4 linked regions of the Drosophila melanogaster genome follow. The protein of the gene in region 1 interacts with the protein of each later gene in a pairwise test. Each region holds a gene or a part of one and is shown on either strand. Other genes may lie near its edges. The genes, in order: l(3)L1231, M1BP, CG14062 and CG11134.

Evidence for each region.
Region 2: the proteins of l(3)L1231 (region 1) and M1BP interact in a two-hybrid assay, tested with the Drosophila melanogaster proteins (one large-scale study listed by BioGRID).
Region 3: the proteins of l(3)L1231 (region 1) and CG14062 interact in a two-hybrid assay, tested with the Drosophila melanogaster proteins (one large-scale study listed by BioGRID).
Region 4: the proteins of l(3)L1231 (region 1) and CG11134 interact in a two-hybrid assay, tested with the Drosophila melanogaster proteins (one large-scale study listed by BioGRID).

The regions. Positions count from the first base shown.
Region 1 is NT_033777.3:14,651,681-14,657,083, forward strand, and holds the start of l(3)L1231 (lethal (3) L1231), read right to left. Parts: upstream 3,518-5,403; 5' UTR 3,478-3,517; intron 1-3,477.
Region 2 is NT_033777.3:8,728,632-8,733,354, reverse strand, and holds M1BP (motif 1 binding protein), read left to right. Parts: upstream 1-1,656; 5' UTR 1,657-1,772; coding exon 1,773-1,913; intron 1,914-1,981; coding exon 1,982-2,685; intron 2,686-2,742; coding exon 2,743-2,988; intron 2,989-3,253; coding exon 3,254-3,419; 3' UTR 3,420-3,565; downstream 3,566-4,723. Other genes in the region: CG8202 (uncharacterized protein), read right to left, coding at 1-589, 640-811, 872-985, 1,049-1,139, 1,206-1,222; ranshi, read left to right, coding at 3,695-3,814, 3,872-4,431, 4,484-4,723.
Region 3 is NT_033777.3:28,640,970-28,645,304, forward strand, and holds CG14062 (uncharacterized protein), read right to left. Parts: upstream 1,923-4,335; 5' UTR 1,920-1,922; coding exon 1,877-1,919; intron 1,820-1,876; coding exon 1,427-1,819; intron 1,357-1,426; coding exon 752-1,356; 3' UTR 616-751; downstream 1-615.
Region 4 is NC_004354.4:13,735,405-13,739,793, reverse strand, and holds CG11134 (uncharacterized protein), read right to left. Parts: upstream 1,853-4,389; 5' UTR 1,806-1,852; intron 1,656-1,805; exon of another isoform or gene 1,621-1,655; 5' UTR 1,546-1,620; coding exon 1,418-1,545; intron 1,355-1,417; coding exon 884-1,354; intron 809-883; coding exon 724-808; 3' UTR 617-723; downstream 1-616. Other genes in the region: Grip91 (Gamma-tubulin ring protein 91), read left to right, coding at 1,988-2,692; g (garnet), read left to right, coding at 3,754-3,852. UniProt on the Drosophila melanogaster protein: Catalyzes the dehydration of methylthioribulose-1-phosphate (MTRu-1-P) into 2,3-diketo-5-methylthiopentyl-1-phosphate (DK-MTP-1-P).

The sequences.
Region 1 (5,403 bases):
AACGAGATAATAGGCGTCAGACTAATAGAACCATGACATCAAATGTCTTTCAAAATTGTAAATGCCTTCTACTGCAACTTTAATGCCATTCCAATTTAGCCATTCCAAGAATACTTAACCTAAACAATTGAGTGACTTTTCGATGGGAGTTTTAACTTTAAAGCGTGAAACATTTAAGATAAACAAATAAAATTTTATTGCAATACCAGCAAATGTCTATCCATTTTCTATATTTGGAATGGCTGTATTATACAAACGAGTGCTTTTGTGTTAATGGTTTTTCATGAAAAATGCGCAGCACATCAACTTCAATTTGCTCATATTCAACAATGAAATAAAAATCCAATTACAAATTGGACGAGTGGCTTAAAAAGAAATTGAAAAATATGTATTAAATTACAACTCTGCCTTATTACCATTTTTATTATTTTTTTTAAGCTAAAGGGTTTAAAGTGGAACGATATGTTCAAAACAAAGAATAATTTAAATATCCCCCTGAGTCATCGACAAGTTTAGATTCTTTAATTTTAAAACGACTTGACTGACTACTGATTGAATACTCGATGTGAAACGCACAAGCAATGGAATAATAGATCATGTTCATGTGTTTTCAAGGCGATTAGTCTGCTGCTACTCTAACATTAATGGAAAATTTTGAGGCACCTTTCGGCAGAATTAGCGAAGAACGAAGAAAACCCCCGGGGAAAACGCACGCCGTGGAACACGAAGGTTTTCGGCTTGTGATGGCCCAAGAAACCGTGCTCAAAGGTCTGCTGGTTAAACGAGCTGTGGATAGCTGCTACACACAGATACAGATGGATTGTTGCTTTGCTTGGACCAGGTAGCAAGCGACCAGGTAAACCGATAGGCTGGCAGAAAGCCGGTCGGTCGAGAGGTTAATTACGAGAGCAAAGCGTTTCCAGGCGTTACGCTCACTGGGCTACGGCGGCATAAAAACACCAGAACTGGAAAATATACGAGTACGACGACTACCAGTTGAATGGTTTTCAACATGCTGGTAGGAAAAACACTAGGCATTCATTTGCAAAACATTTGTAAGTGTCGGGGGCCCTAACACCCTTGTTTCTTCACATTTTAGTTGTATCTCAGAAATGTTGCTCAATATTTCAACAGCTAATTAGTCGGGCGTTTTACAATAATTCCGACAACTGTTAAAATAGCAGCGATAAAAAGCTTTTAAAATTAGTTTATAACCAGACATGAACTACATTTTATAACTGCTGTCATATTAGTACGTTTTATCAAGAACCAGAAACTGATATATTAATCAAATCTATGCCATCAAACTATCTGCATATAATGGTTCCTTTATTGTTAATATGAACATGATAAGATAGTGATTGTTCCTGGAGTAAATAAGCAATGTTTAAAAATAGTGATGATTGACTTGTGTTTCAGATTTACGATAAGGGTGAGAAATGATTCCCATATTTTCGGCGCGCTTTCATGATATTTGCAAACTCATCGACATTGACGCACAGCAGCAGAAATTGCATTTAAATGCACATTACATTGCCCGTAAGTGAGGAAAACGGGCAGAGGGAGAGAGAGAGGGAGATACTGAGTCCGAACCCGTTTGCTGCTTCCTTCATAACCGGAAACTGAAGGCTAAATTGTGCAAAGCAAGAAATGTGCAAAAAACGTAATATAATGACGACCGGGTGGGGGAAAGCAAGAAGGGCGGGGCTGGAAACCACCGCAAAGGCAGCTGGAGATGGATTTTTGATGCGGTGGGGAGGACGGTGCGGGATGCGGGGTAAAAGCCAAGAGCCAGACATGCGGTTCAGTTTATTCAGCCAGCCAGCGAAGCCAAACGAACTCCATCTGCAGCTCCACTTGGCCACTTTTGCATTGCACGTAGGCCCGTCCACATCCCACAGAGTGGGTCTCATGGCTCCAGAGCAGTGGTACAGTGGACACTGGCTGGAAGCAACCCGGGGAAGCCTTGGGAGTGCTGCCAACAATGTTGGCATAACTTATGGAGCATATATCTTGCTCGTTTTGTCTGCAAACAAACTTCCAAAATCGTGAGTCATACGAGATAATTATGGGCTTCACAGTCAAAGATTTTGCTTTGCATTTTTCTTTGCTTTTTCGCGGTCAAAAGACAATAAATATTAATGGGTTCCATAAAATGACTCACTGAATTATTCAAATAAATATTTATTTCAATTTGGAAATTTAATAACGCTGGTAGGAATATTTAAAGCTTTTGAAAGGTTTCCTAAATAAGCCGTTTGGTATTGTTTTCGAATGCAAAATAATATATTTTTATAATCCAAATTGATTGTGCATCCATATTAAATGGAAAGATAAACATGTATAATTTTTAAAAGACACTTAAGTTGTTTAAACAATTCATCCGCATGATAGATCCAATTAATGTGGTAATTTTCTTTACTTTTCCATTTTAACATGAAAGTAAATCTCCGATATAAAACACTTCCTTTGGCCTTAGCTGTTTTGTGATTTCTTGGTGCAATAAGTATTATTTTATAACAGTATCATAATTATAAGGCGAATTAAGTTAAAACAGAATTATTCACACAATAAAATATCCAAGGCTTACGATCACTATTTTGTTTTTTTATAAAAGTGTACGAAATTTTCGTTATTCGAGGTTTTATTATGTTGCTCTTTTTGTTGTTGTTGTAGGTAGTGAGCGGCAGCTGTTGTTGGTATGAAAAAAAAAACACACACATCTGTTCCGTTAAAACCAAGTTAACGATAATCTCGGTTTCTCACGGACTTTACTCAACTCTTGTGAAGAATTTCAGCAATATAAACACACACATGCACACGATAACTAAGAGCGGGCGGAGGGGGAGGTTCATCACCACACATATGTCGCCAATAAACAAATTTCCAAAACTAAACAAAACAAATAACCAATTCCGTGTAAACGAACTTTCAGTGGGGAGCGCGTCTTGAATTTCTTTTAGCTTTTTGTTTAGTTTTGTTTGTCATTCGCTTTGTGGTTTGTGGGTGTGCCGCCGCTGCGAGGGGTGGGATGGCAACTGTTGGGGAGTGGCGGGAAGGGCACTCGAGAATCGCTGTTGCCGGCGTTTTTATGATTTCTCTGTTTCCCCCATCCGTTTTTTTCTCTTTTTTTTTTGTTTCGACCAGCAGTCGCCCTCGCCCTTTTTTCTGCTTCTCTTTAGCGGCTCTTTCGCTTCCTTCCCCCACACAGCCCCCCACCAAACCCACACACTCACAGATACACTTGCGTTTAGAGTTGCACACGCAGGGTCTTTTGATTTTTAACTGTGCTTTGATTTTCAGCATTTAATCATTTTTAGCTTTAACAGCTTTTTCTGCTTTTCTTTGCTTTGGCGATTTTCGATGCAAAACAAGAATGCGTCACGGACCGCACACACTCACATAAAGGCTCACACACATACAACACACGCATACAGTGGGGCCGAAACCGAGAGCAACGAGAGCGAGAAAATTTACCCAACCGTCTGATGACGATTCAAACGTCAAAGTGGCGCCGCGCAACGTACTTCGTTTTTGTTGTTTGAGTACCCTTCCCACGGACAGGGTTGTCATGTTTTTGGGAATTAGTAAAGTGGCAGAATAATGCGGTTTTTTGGGAAATAAAAATTATAACAGCCCGCCAAATAATTATTTACAGCGATTCGCACTCAATTGATCACAAGTTAATGGGATTTACTGTTAAAAATCTATTTTATGCACATATAAATAGGAGGATCGGCAACCCTGGCCTGCCTCTCACACACACATACAGCACAGACCTGGGAATTTTTTGCTGCACAATTTTTTCTCCGCACCAACAATTCCACTTTCAAATGCAATTTTATCCCCCTTTGCTGAGCGCAGCGTACTCAAGACGATATCCTTTTTGTGGGAAAATGTGTACTGCAGCACTTTCTGGTGTGTTAAGTGGGCATAAAACGCGTTAAACGATTAAATTTGTAATTTTCGATGAAGTCGGGCTGACAAGATGGCGGACAATACAGGCGCGCGCACAGACACACACGCAGCCATTCGGGCGAACTAGGGATGTGACAAATTTATCTACATTTCAATATATCGATATTTTTGAAGAAAAATAAATATTTATTCACATGATCTATCGAATATCACTATTTTGCTGCTATTTATACAAACAAAATAAGCAAGTGCTAAATTTATGCTTCAGGATTGATAACCATTAAGTAACAACAGTTAATAATAATATTATACATTCAGCGAAGAACCAACCATATTATATTAATAAAACCAAACACACTGAACTGCTATTTTGGGACCCAGTGTCAAGGAGTGTCGTAAGCTACAGCCACCGCCACCTTTACGTTTTTTATACCCCTTACTCGTACAGTTAAAGGGTATACTATAGCCGAGTGCTTCCGAATGAATGTAGAGATATTAGGAACTATAAAGGCGAGAGAGTAAGGACTACCACGTCCACTTTAACGCTCACTAACCGCCCAAAACTCCCACTTTTGAACAATTTCTTTACATTTTATTTGTCTTGCTGATTAGTATCGGTACGCCAAAAATATGTAAATGTTCTAGTTCGCACTCCTATTAACGTAGTAGGTACGTATAGTAGGTAGTAGGAATCTGATAGTCGAGGAACTCGAATATAGCGTTCTAACTTGATTCTGATTGGTACGTGCGCGTTGCCATCTTGAAACTGGTTACCTTAGCCATAACGCGCAGTCTCCAATGGGCGGCCAATCAGAGCACCGGCGGTCTGATTGGTCGGCTCTGCAGTTTGATTTGTATCTCTACTGTGGTTTAGCTTTGGAACCACTATTGCGCAATATTTCTTGGCGGCAGGATAAAATGATCGGCCGCAAAAGGCCTCCCAGAGCCAGATGAACTATGTTGGAGTAGCCGCTGATGCTGTCGCATTCTACTGATAGAGATAGGCAGTTGTGGCGATGCTGTTAATGTGATGGATCCGGGTCCGGACAATGTCTGCTGCTGCTGAATTTGAAGTTGTGAGCCCATAGACTCCTCCTGGGGAGTGTGCGAATGATACCCGTGTGGGTTGCACTGAAAGATTTCTCTCGCGGCTGATACCCAGATGGATTCTCGAGTAAAGGCAAGCCAAAGATCATATACCCGACAAATACCATTAAATAACGACATAAAGAACAACAAAAGTAGGTTTAAAGAAGAGTCATAGAGGAAAAACCTCCGCGCCAAAATTCAATTCGCGCCGATATCACGTTATCGAACGCTGCACAGCTGGTCATACTAGCTGACCAAGGCAACTCTGCGATCTCGTCCACCTGGGCACACTAGTTGGCGGTCATCGTGTAGTCATTCAATTTCCGACTTCAAACATCCTTCATCAGCCTGCAAGCGAGTTCCGACAAATTTTCAACCCGGTCATGGTTAATTCAC
Region 2 (4,723 bases), 5.9 Mb from region 1:
ACGCCCATGCGCACCAAGTAGCAGCGGGCATAGCTCGATACCAAAGGATCAGCTATACCCCTCAGTTGATGGGTCAAACGTTGCAAAATGCGCTCATACTCCTCGCGCGATGATGACAGGAACTCGTAGCACTTGAATATTGACAGCTCCAAGTAAAAACGCGGCAGTAACTCACGAATCGAGGCGATCTTATAAAACCAATTCTGGCACGTATCCCGGGCAGCTTCCCGTTCCCGCTCTAATGTGGCCGCCGATGCGGCAGGATCTCCAGAGGCCTTAGCACGCAGTCGTTCGTATACCAATTTTCCAAAAACATCCAGTATATCAGTGATAAGAACGTACTGACTCGGATAGAATTGCAGCACAGTGGTGTCCGCTAGCATTTTGGCACACTGTATGGCTATCTTCAACGCTTTTACTCGCTGATCGTTGTGCCAGGACTGGATCAGCTCCTGCTTGAGTTGCTCAAACCGCTGAATGTACTCCTGCTGAGTAAGATCCATCATGTGACGCATGCTGCCATCGTCGAAGTGGTCTAACTGCTCCAAGCGAAACTTTGTCTTGTCGGCCACCACCGTTTGTGCTTTAACTATGATTGTTGTTAATATATATCACAGATCAACCGACCACTGAACTTACTGCTTTCGTTGCCGCCATCCAGGCTACCAGATGACACCAGAAAGCTGGTAGACAGCGATAGCTTCTCATTGGTTGTAAAGCGGTTGAGGATGCCTAGTCGTCGGCTGCTCCACTGCAGTGTGTTGTCCTCGGGCTCCGTTCGGTCCCGTTCACGACGCTTCGACTTGAGATCCTGAACATCCAAGTGCGAAAAACTTAGTCATGTTCCTTGCCGGTGCACCACTCTACTTACGAATTCGCTGACCATTTGACTGAGCGGATCGTTGAGCTCATCATCTTGGCGTGCAAACTGCGAGAGCGGATCTGTGCCCTCTAGAGCTCGGCTCAAGGGATTGCTGTCCACCACCTGGTGGAGATTGTTCTTTCATTAAAATCACTTACAGATAAGGGCGTTGTACCATTTACCCACCGTCACCGTCCGCTGCTTTAGGGGATGCTCCAGCGTGGCCTGCCCAGTCAGGCAATTCTTCCGGACCTCGTAGCATCGCGGCACGCACACCCTGCAGTCAGGAGAAATGGTTATCAATGCTTATTTGTTTATTTTCGGGGGAAAATAAATAAATTACCATTCCAAGTTCGCCATAGCGTCGTGGTTGTTGTTGTCGGCATTCCTGACAGCTGCTTGCCAACATGACATGGACGTAGCCGGTCAGGGATGAAATACACCAAAGAAACTGTACTAATTCCAGGGACTTTAGCTTAGAACCTGTTCTACTGTATATATTTCGTTTCGCTTGCAGCTCTATAGAAATTAATTTATAAAAAAGATTTAATTTAAAGATTTAAATAAAAGATTTTATTTATAATTTTATAAATTTAAAATTATAAAACAAATTAATTCAAATTTATATGTGATATTATTGGAGTATAATAAATATGCAAATCCGTTAAATATCAAAGCAATATATAATACTAACGTTAACAAAGTAATTCATTTTCGAGGATATATATATATTTTGGCATCATATGAACCCCTTTGCCTACGCCACTGAAAATATGTTTATTTCGGGGCGAATGGCAAATATTAACACGAAACACCGGGTGAATGGCAAATGCAGTTGACAAGCGACGCGTTTATTTTTTGTGTTCACAAATATCTTAAAAACGATTTCATTTCGGATTGCGAATGAAAAATGTCGAAATCGGCGCTGAAACACCTAAAGAGCACCTGCCGCGTATGCGCAAAGTATGCAAGCAACAAGCGGTCGCCGAAGTTATTCGAGCGGAGCAACACAAAGATGATCGACAACATTGAGGCGCTCACAGGCCTTCGGGTAAATTTTTCACTGCGGCTTTATGGAATTTATGTAGTTATAGCTTAATTTATTGGTGTTTAATCTAGCTGGAGAACTACGGTTGCCTGCCGGATCAGATATGTGAATGCTGCAGCATGGAACTGGCCTCCGCCGTTAAGCTGAGGGAGCGCTGCATCGCCGCCCAGCGTGAGCTACTCTTGGGATTGACCGAGGAGCAACGCCAAGGCATCTCGGCCTTCTACCGGGCGGCTGTCATGGGCGAGGATATTGTCCAGACGGTGAAGACGCCCGACGATGATGAGGTCTATGCCACTTATCAGGAAATCGTATTGGAAGAACCTAAGGAAGAGATCGACGACACCAAGGTAGAGTACGATAATACCTACTACGAGGTGGCCGAGGGACACGCCGGCGAGGACGACGCAGCCTCCTTGATTGAAGAGGCCGACTATGATTCCATAATGGCCGAAGACGAAGAGCAGCAGCAAACGTTGGAGCTGGACGAAGACACCGAGCTAATTGTGGGCGACGTCAACGACGCGTACGTCTACGATTCGGATGATGAGGTGGCCGTTCTTGACAACGTGCTGGATGATGAGTACGAGCATGAAAACATTGTCGTCAAGAAGTGTAGTCTGCCGCCAAAGCCAAAGGTCCGGTCGGATGATGCGCGTCGTCGTGGCACCGGCGGAGTATACATCTGCGAGCAGTGCGGCAATCACATCAAGGGACGCATGGCCTTTGAACTTCACTGTCGTCGCCATCGTGGGGACAAGCAATTTGGCTGCGAGTGAGTACATTTCTACTCCTTTTTGGATACAGTATGACTAAATGGATTTATTTTCAGACTCTGTCAGTCGCGCTTCTGCACAACTTCCGAGCTGAAACGCCACATGCGCAAGCACACCGGAGAGCGACCGTTTGCATGTAAGTACTGTGGCCGCTGCTTCACAGACTACACCACGCGCGTGAAGCATGAGCGTACCCACACCAATGAGCGCCCCTACGTCTGTGGTACTTGCGGCAAGGCCTTCACTACCGGCTACATCCTTAAGAACCATATGCTGATACATTCCGGCGAGCGGGCCTACAGGTACGTTGAGTCATACAGCTACACAGTACCGGGAAACCCAATAACTAGGTTTCTTAGAAATTCTAAGATCATATTATGCGGCATTACAAGAGTTTTCCAAAACCTTATGAGAGTTAAGATAACTAAATATTACTTATGTTGCCAAATTTCGTGAGTAATATTTAGTTATCTTATAATAATTTCTTATAATAATATGAAACTAGTGATACTGGTACAGTTACTGAAATGTTTGAAATGCCATCTAATACTGAATCTTCCCCTCAAGGTGCGAGCTGTGCGACAAGTCCTTTATGCTGCCCACCCACCTGAGCACCCACTTCCGGTCTGGCGTACACAAGCGGCATCTGGAGAAAGCCGAGATGAAACAGGTCCTGGAGCAGGAGCAGAAACGTGAACTCAAGGAGGAGGAGGAGGACAGCCTGCACATCTAAAGCTGTCCTTATAATATATACATAGCAATTACAGGCAATGCTAGACCGACAATGGCGCACAGCCAAGGAGCATTTCTGCAAATAATTAACAAACCAATTGTAATATGTAGAACTTAATATTGAATAATAAATCAAAACTTCAAATCCCAACTTATGAGCATTTATTTCATCTGTAAAAATTGCTTCCATGCGAATGGCAAACGGAACAGCTGATTGACAAGCATAGCATTGTTTACAAAAAGTTTGGCGTTTCAAACTTTTTTATCGGCTCAAAAATGGAAGGAAAAGTGTGTCGCACTTGCGGCAAGCGCACGAATGCTGAAAGATCATTGAATATTTTTGAAAAGCGCAATCAAACTACGCTGGAACACATCAAACTACTAACTGGAGCTGTGGTGAGAGGATAATAATGCGTAGTGTCTTTAACTTTCTAAAGTTTTTTCTCTTTACAGTTAAAGAACTGTAGTACGTTGCCAAATCGACTATGTGCGTCCTGCCAAACTTGTTTGCAACAAGCCATATCCTTTAGGGAACGCTGTTTGGAAGTCCAAAGGGAGTTGCTCCATTCCCAAGATGATGAAGACTTCCTTAGAATCTGCCAGGAATCTCCCAAAAGTGTCCTTGAGCAGGAGGAGTTGGAACTGGATCTGGCAGAAATAAGCATAGAAGTCGAGCGATTAGACGATCTCAATGAAGGGCCCATTCAAAGCTCCGGTTTTAAAGTGGAGGACATTCTAAATGAATCTAAAATCAACGAAGACGAGCCCAATAATGAGGACGATATTGATTATAGTGAAATGGATTACCTTATTTACGAAAGCGATACTGAAGTAGATGCAAAGCAGGAACTCAAATCAGACTCTGAGAATCCCAAAAAAAGGAGAAATCGTCGAAATCCCCGCGACTCCAATAGGACCTTCTTTTGTGAGGAGTGCGGAAATCACATAAAAGATCGAATATCATTCATACTGCATTGTAAGCGACATCGCGGCGTCAAGGAGTTTGGGTGCGAGTAAGTGGCAATTCTACTTAAGATTGATCCTAACTAATCCGCTTCATTTAAGATTCTGTGAGGATCGCTTCTGCACGCCGGCGGAACTTAAGCGTCACATTCGCAAGCATACCGGGGAAAAGCCCTTCAAGTGCAGACACTGTTCCCGCAGCTTTTCTGACTACAGCACTCGGTTGAAGCACGAGCGGACTCACACTAACGAACGACCTTTTGTCTGCAAGGAGTGTAACAATGCCTTCACAACATCCTATATTCTTAAGAACCACATGCTCGTGCATACCGGGGAGAAGGC
Region 3 (4,335 bases), about 14 Mb from region 1:
ATGTGGGTGCTCGGCATGTTGGGTGGTGCAAGTGCTCAGCCCATTCACAACGCCATTGAGTTGCGTGTTTACAGCACAATTACAACTGTTAGGTTTTATGAGAGCCCAGTTGAACGCATGTCCGGGTTGCTAAATTTATTCTGCACTTTTATGAGCTCCCAGTGTCCCCGGCCCTTTGGCTCCATTATCCATCCAGGATATCCATCAGCTCCATTCCGGCAGAACACGCACAAAACAATTTCGCAGGCGTGCGTATTTAAAAGCAGCACAGACACAAACAGCCATGCCCTGCTGAATAATTTATTTAATGTCTACTTTTAGGCGCAACCCCCGGCCAAGCAATTGCCATGGCCGCCTGCCTTTATTGCACTCGCACGCATTGAAAAGCGTTTGCCCTCCGCCACAATCGCAGCTTGAATTTAAATGGGCCAAAAGCGGGTGGCAGTGGCAGTGTGGTGGCCCGGGGGGGATAAATTTATGAGAAGCCGCTGAATGACCATTAAAACTGACGTCTCGAGTCCATTCCGAATGAGCCATGAATTCGAAGTGTTCGCACGCGTTTTAAACTGCCACGCAAGCATTTACGATTTATGAAAATGAAAATTGATTTGCGATCTAAAGCCAAAATAATATACTTTTAATTTCAGTTTAAATTATTGTTTAAATTATTACCATGTTTGAATTTTGTTATATTAAAAACCTCACATTTTTGTAAGGCTGACAGGTTTTTCTTATTGAGAAAGGCATCCAATTAGGGCCTGAAAGTGGCGGGGTTGCAACAGAACGAAAAGCCAGCCTGTGCCGTGTTGACCAATGCCACTGGGCAATTCACGGGCTGACAAAAGTTGGGAGCAGCTGGACGTTGACGTGCGTAGATGTTGTTCAGGGTGAGGAAGGCCACGATGGGCTGGTTGTTGGCGTTCCGCACTATCTTGTACATCCACTGGGGCACCGGGTTCCTGTTGCCACTTAGGAAGACATTCTTGGGTCTATTGCCCGATGGCAGCGAGAGTACGCCCCTGGCCCCGGTGCGCACATTCACAAAGTTGTTTCCGGTCACCGAATTACGAACGAATCGCTCGATGGTCTCCCAGTTGCCATCGTTGATGCTCTTGAACTGCGGCACTGCATTCACATACTTGAAGGTGGCGCACAATTGGTCACCAAAGAAGAAGTCGGCCGAGGCGGCCAGATGTCCGCGATTGATGATCACATCGCGGTTGTTCGGTATATAGTTCTGATTGTTGCCAAACAGCCTCCTAAAGGTGCCGTGGATATTTCGGACCGTATAGCTAGCTTCATCCGCGCCACTGATCACTCCATCCGAACTAAATTGGACACAGGGTCGGGTGATATCTGAGTATTTGTAAGTTTGATATTCATTTTATAATTAAGATTTAACTTACACTTTTGTATATGTACTTACAGAAGGGCTTTCCATACACCCGGTGTTCCACGAAGATAGCCCTCACAGCTCTGGTATCGAAGCAGGCGCGATAGAGCTCCAGGAACTGGTTGTTGCCCACGTTGTAGCCCACCCGGTACATGGTGGCCGGACATCTGCGATCTTGGACCGGTGTGGTGATGGCCGCCGGAGCAGCGCGGCAGGTCATGGGCAAGGGTGGCTGGAAGGCTGGAACCCTTCCCGCCTGGCAGGTGGTGGCCACTATGTCCCGGGGATTGCACCACATCTGCAGGGTTTCGCCAACCGCCGAACTGGCTGTTCGCTTAAGGGACAGCTGGCGGTTCTGACCACGCACCATAAAGATCCGATTGGTCCCTTGCACTTGAGCTCTGGTGAATCGGCACTGTCCATGTGCTTAAGAATATAAACTTTACATCCAGCAATAGCCGAGAATATATTTTTATTTATTACCCAAGGCACAGAATGCCAGTAGCAGAAGTAGAATTCGCAACATATCCGAAAGATTCAACTCGGCAGTTAATCGCTTGCAGGTCTATTTATATTGTACGGAAATCGGAGAAGTGTGTGCACAACTGTTTCAAAAATACGTGCAATTCATTGTCGAATTTTATTGTTTGCATCGACTTGCACGAGCGATCCAAAATTAATTATATTATTACATCATTATTGCTTAAACTGGATAACGAATTAAAGGTGAAAAAGAGTGGCCTACATTATCACCTGGCTGGCTTAATTACTTCCAGATCAGGGGCCCCAGGTAATGTTTAAAAGCGGGGGCCTCATGCGGATATTGTCAACTTTTGTGTGCATATGCTGCCATTTGCCGATTGCAAATGTGCCTGGCAGATTAAATGAAATTAGTTATTGGCCCGATGCCACAACCTGACCAGAACCAACCGAATCACTTTCCATTTACCCAGCGCCCCATGATTTTATTATCGTTGTTTGTTCCACAAATAACATTAGTTCGGTTTGGCTGGGTTGGGTTCGATTTGGTTTGGTTTAGCATTGATTTTGTCCATGTCCAGCTTTACGTCCAGTGGGCAAGAACAACTCGTTTTGCGGCTGAGATTGTGTTTGTTGCCCCATCTATATGGCTGCATGGCTGGAGGTATAGCTGTAGCTCTAACCAAGCCAAAACGGTGTGATCTTTTGGTTTGTTTGCGGAAAGGTGCAATAGCAGTAGCCACCATAGACGGGCATCTCGCACATCCTTGCGAATATTTCATAAATTTATATTTGCCTGCTAAATCCCTTAACGACTGTAAGCTTTTCCGTTTGTATGGCATGCAGAAATGGCGGCCAAAACTAATACATGCGCATATATAACGTCGACTTAGAGGAGCCATGTATATGGGATACCTATACGTGTGTGTATGCCAGGACGTGCAAACTTTGCATGTGTGTATTGGAATCTGCCAAGTGCCAAGAAAGCATTTTGGGCGAAGGGCACAGACATTTGACTTTTACGCGCAATTGAGCCTGAGAATCCAGGGGAATCTTCGCACGGATGGGATAGTTTGGAGTAGCTCTTAGCAGCAGATCTAGTCCTGCCATCGACGGCCCACTCAGGGCGGCTCTTATAAATATTTATAACAGCCCACTCGACACCCACTAAATTATTAAGTTAATGTGTCGCGCTATTCAAAAAAGGCATCCACCCAAACCGGGGAACCAATAAAATTCCGTGACCTCGACCCCAACCCCACATAAATGTGGTTGTGTGTGACAATTTCACGCGTCCTTCATCCCAGGATCAGAGTCCTGTCTACTGAATCGAGCGAGCGACGTGCTTGATGTTTCTGACTATAAGAGGGCAACGATTAATAAGCTCGTTAATGTTGCGCGAAATTATTGGGGAAATGGGAAAAGTTTTGCAAGTCTAAGATTTATAAATGGCTCATGTTTAGAAGTGCAATTATAAGACCACGAGGACATATGAGCGATGGCAAGTTAACCAAGTTAAAGACCATAAATCAGAGATGGGTCTTGGGCGTGTGCGAGGGACTTATGAAGTTTCCGTGATATCACTGGGATCAAGGCTGCTGGCTGTCCCAAATGTGTCACGGGGCGTATACGCTATATTGCATACTTGCCGCCGCTACTTCGTGTGGACAATACGTGTATACGTACGGGTGTATACGGCCATACAAGTATGCATTTCGGCGTGCCACCTTTTCACTAACATTCCTGAATGCGGTCAGCGGCAGGTGCAATGTTTGGACCCTCGTTCTTCTTTGCCACTCAGCTTGACGTTTATTAAATTTTTCGACCAAACCACAGGAAGCGGAAACCAAGGATGCTGGCGGCTGGACTGAATCCTGGCGAGAGGGGTGTGCACTTTATGCTCGGCTGGGCGGCAGCTTAAACTCTTTTATGGGCCAAGAGTCTTTAAGCTTTCCACCATTGACTGCGGTCGCCTGGGCAAACACTTCCCAAGTATTTCACTTCATTTTACTGTTTTCCACCAACCGAACACAGGCGCTTTATTTGATTCAGAGTTCTTTTCGGGAAATATCATCATTAGGGCTTCACATGCGACGACGTTCAAAGCGAAACGGCTCCATTACATTACAGTTTGCATGGCCCCAATTTCTGGGGCAATTATTTGCTTTGTAGCCTGCCGAAAAGGCTGCCAAAAGCAGCAGACAGACAAGGCAGCAGCACATATAGCCTTCTTGCCGCTTTTACACAATTTCCTTCCGCTTTGCTTTGCGCCGGGAAAGTATTACGATGATTTGCATAATTTTAGCGCACCTACAGCAGCCGCAAAGAAGGGGCAAAAAAAAAAAGAGGCCTAAACCACGAATCCTGCAGCGCATCCTTGTGTGCTTGATACTCCTGCCCTTCAAGCTTGTTCGTTTTTTCGGCTCGTCTTTATCTGCTTTGCTTTCACGGGTCCTTTGTTG
Region 4 (4,389 bases), on another chromosome or scaffold:
TCACTACACTGCCCCTGTTGTGTGGGAGCGGGATGGTCGTATAGCAAGTTGCCGGTCGCGATATGTCGCCCTCACTCGCACCTGTTGCATTCGCATAAGCCTTGTTGTGCTGTTATTGTCGCGCTCCCTCTCTCTCTCGCTCTCTTCCAAATGTTAGCCAGCTGATGCACAGTGGGCATGAACTCAAAATAAAGTGGCTGCACGAAAACCTTTTGCATATCAGATATAGCTTTTATTTATATCGTTTATGCGATATTTCTTTCATTAAGCTGAATTGAAATTCTGATATTTGATGATATCAGAATGAAAAAGTAAATAACTGTATCGATATCATTTGGTTTTCACCGCTTGTTAGCCCACTGTTACAGGTGTGGAGTTTAGACTTTAACATTAACATGAAACGCCTAACATGAAGCCGTAACAGCGGTTATCAGCTGTTGTCCACGATTTAGTGCAAAGTGCGCACCCAGTTTGAAATGCCCATAAAACGGCGATAAGGCTTGAAGACTCTTCAGATTATTTCGACAAAATATGTCACCTAACGAGCCCATTGAGAAAATATTTTTAACCCCCCAAATGCCATATATCGTGATTCGATTCATAAAACGCAAGCATTATTCAGTACTATTATTTTGCATTGACCAATGGATTTCAGTTAGTAAATGCATCAATTTATAGGGTTAAACGACAAGTAGAATGTGCGTTCGTATCAGCTTCACTTCCTTATGAGCTCTCGAACTTTTCCGGATCGATTCCGGCCTTCTTCATTTCCACGGCAATGGAGAAGAGATAGTCATAGCATTCCGACCTGGTTGTAAAAAGAGAGATAAACGATTAGGTCTATAAAAGTGCTCGGTGTCTGAGAATAAGTGAGGCAACCCACATGGTTTTGGCCTTCTCCCAGTTCTGTCCCCAAACGTAGACGCCGTGTCGTCGAACCAGGATCGCACTGCAGCCCGGATACTCCATCATGGCGGCGTACATACTGTCGGCCAGGTCGCGTTCAAAGGGTGTGTTCTCGATGATCGGTACGACGAGCTCCTCGTCGTAGCGCAAATATCGCTTGTCCGCCTCATCGTAGACGCCCTTGATCATCTCCAAGTGGGTGCAGCGGAAGGTTTTCCCTGGCCACAGGAGCGTGGCCATTACGGCGTGCTGCGAATGGGTGTGGATGACGGCTCCCGCCTGCCGATGCTGATAGGCCAGCATAAAGAGCGGCGTACATTGGCTCTTCTTCAGGCCCTTGATCTCAGGCGGCAGTTGCAGATCCTTGCCGGTTATATCCTGCACGAAGAGATCCTCCGGCTGCATTCGCTCCTTCTGGACGCCCGACGGTGCTATGTAGATCTCATCGCTGAAACGGATTAACCGGCTTATATGGCTGTCTGGATAGATGTATAGTATCACTTGTACTCACTTGTACTTAATGCTCATGCCACCTCCTGTGCCGGTCACCCATCCCAAATGATAGAATTGCCTGCATAGCGAGGGAATCAAGTGGCGAGGATGCTCCGCCGGCAAGTCTTTGAAGATCGAGAGGGCCATCTCGCTGACAATGTGACTTTCGTGGGACGTAATCTTCGTCGCCGTGCGACACTGATAACGGGAGATAAAGGGATTCTGAAAGCGACAAATCACGAATGTAAACAATGCTGCCGTCGATAGACGATTGCAATCGGTGTATCGCTGTTAACACACAGCGTTGCCGTTACGATAAACATTGTCCAATTAGAAATGGTTTTTTGAAAATTGAATAATGTGCAATAGTTCATTAAGAGAACAAGATATTATTATCACCGTATTACCTCAAAAATGTTTCATAGCGCTGTTGAAAACGTTTTTTACAAGTATAAATATAATAAGCTTGCTACATTTGAACTTTTTTCAATTTTCTTGAGTAGTCCTATTCTGTAAGTCTTATTATAAACTTTTTTGTTTTTATGTGGCTCACCTTTGGAATTATATTGTTTATTAAACATCTTTTCAGGCCCTTCGTACAATGAAGTCCGAAATCGGCAAGGCGTCACACCGCCTCAACCTTTTCACTTCCGAGATCATGCACTTTATCCACCAAATGCAGTACTATGTGCTATTTGAGGTCATCGAGTGCAACTGGGTGGAGCTACAGAAGAAGATGCAGAAGGCTACTACGTTGGACGAAATCCTGGAAGCTCACGAGAAGTTTCTGCAAACGATTTTGGTGGGCTGTTTTGTCAGCAACAAAGCGAGTGTGGAGCATTCGCTGGAGGTGGTGTACGAGAACATTATCGAATTGGAGAAGTGGCAGTCGAGCTTTTACAAGGACTGCTTTAAGGAGCTAAATGCCCGCAAGGAACTGTCCAAAATTGTGGAGAAATCGGAAAAGAAGGGTGTCTACGGACTGACCAACAAGATGATCCTGCAGCGCGACCAGGAGGCGAAGATATTTGCCGAAAAGATGGACATCGCCTGCCGCGGCTTAGAAGTCATAGCAACCGATTACGAAAAGGCTGTCAGCACTTTCCTAATGTCTCTCAACTCTAGCGACGATCCGAATTTGCAGCTCTTTGGCACTCGGCTGGACTTCAACGAGTACTACAAGAAGAGGGACACCAATTTGAGCAAACCCCTGACCTTCGAGCACATGCGCATGAGCAATGTGTTCGCCGTGAACAGTCGCTTCGTGATATGTACGCCGTCCACTCAGGAATAGCGACCAATGTCCATGCAATCGGTTTATCCCAGTGTCCATACATCATACCAAATCCCAAATCCCATACAGCATCAGCACTCCATTCAGTTCAATTGCTGCTAAATATTTGAGATATCTCGATATCATTGGAGCCAATCCAACCAAACAAACTAATCCAATTATTAACTAAGCCTTCGAATCGAAAACAACCTCTATACATATATATCTCAAGCTTTGCCGTCAATCGCCTGGCTGCAAGCCATCAACTTAAGATATCTCCAATACAAAATTATTGAGTAGTTGTAACGAAAGTATTAAGCGACAATTTGTTTGTCGAAAAACGCAACGTTCTATTTTGTTTGCGAATCCCATAATTTTTTTTACATCGAAGCTTAGTTGAAATAGATTTTCGTAAGTGCATTTGCCAATTGCCATGTTGTAATTAAAGAGAATAAGAGAATGTTACGTACTTTAAAAGAATGTTTTAAAAAAGTTAATGTTTTGAACAGTTTTAAACCGTAATGCGAGCTCGAAATAAACGCAACTTGCATTGAAAGTTTCCGTCTCTATTTAATTATTATAAATTACAAAAATTTGGGTTATAAGAGTGTAATAGTTATTTATTCAATTATTGTAAATGCGTATAAAAAGAAAGCCGAAATATTCAGTTATTTATATTATTTCCTTCTCACTCTCACTCAAACTTTCTGATCTCAAAACGGTTTTGTAATCGAATGCGCAGCGAGTTATCGACAGTCCACGAAGCGGTTAACATTTCACCGCTAGCGAGTGCAGCCACCTACTATTCAGCGTAGCCAACCACCAACGTGCAGCAAACATCGATAGTATCGATTAAACACAAATTTGCGTACCACCTCTAGTTTGCGAGCGTATTAAAGTTAAAAAAAAAACGAAAACAAATCGGAAAAAGACGGAAGTGAGTGCTTTGTGCTGCCGCCGGTGATGTGCTGAAATCGCTTCGCCAAAATAGCCCAATTTCCCAATCGAGACACCGATTGCAAATCAAAGTAACGCCACGGAGTGCAGCAAAAAGAAAAACAAAAACAACAGCAACTGCAAACATGGCACTGAAAAAAGTGAAGGGTAACTTTTTCGAGCGTATGTTTGATAAAAACCTCACCGATTTGGTGCGCGGCATTAGGAACAACAAGGATAATGAGGTAAGCGTGCAGCCCCGCCTCCACCGCCCACCAAAACAGCTGTCCTCCAACTGCCACGCCCCCCCCAAGCGGCCCAGCTGTGCGTCCAATTAGAACTCGCTAATTGGCTGACAAATTTCGTTTGCATTAAGGGAATCTTATTAGAGTTTGGTGTGCTTGCATGTGTGCGTGTGTGTGTGTGTGGGTGAAAGTGGCTGTGTGTTTGTGTGTGTGAATGTTTTGGCATCTGCCAACAGTGCAAAAGGAAAAGCAGGAAAAGCTTGAAAAGAACCACAAAACCGAACGCAGAAACTCCCAACGCACCAAATTAATTAGCAAGTGGCTTTTATCAAATATTTACCCACGTTAATTCCCCCGCCGTTGGTCTTTTTATTCGGTCCTTATCAGAATGCTTGGCAGGATCGGCTAACGGTACTTGAGTTTTCACACGGAGAGAAAATTGCGTGTGATTTGCAAAAATAAAATTGTAGCTTCATTTGCTTCGATTGTTAGTAATTGCAAATATTAATGCAATAAAAATAATAATAAATAAATTGC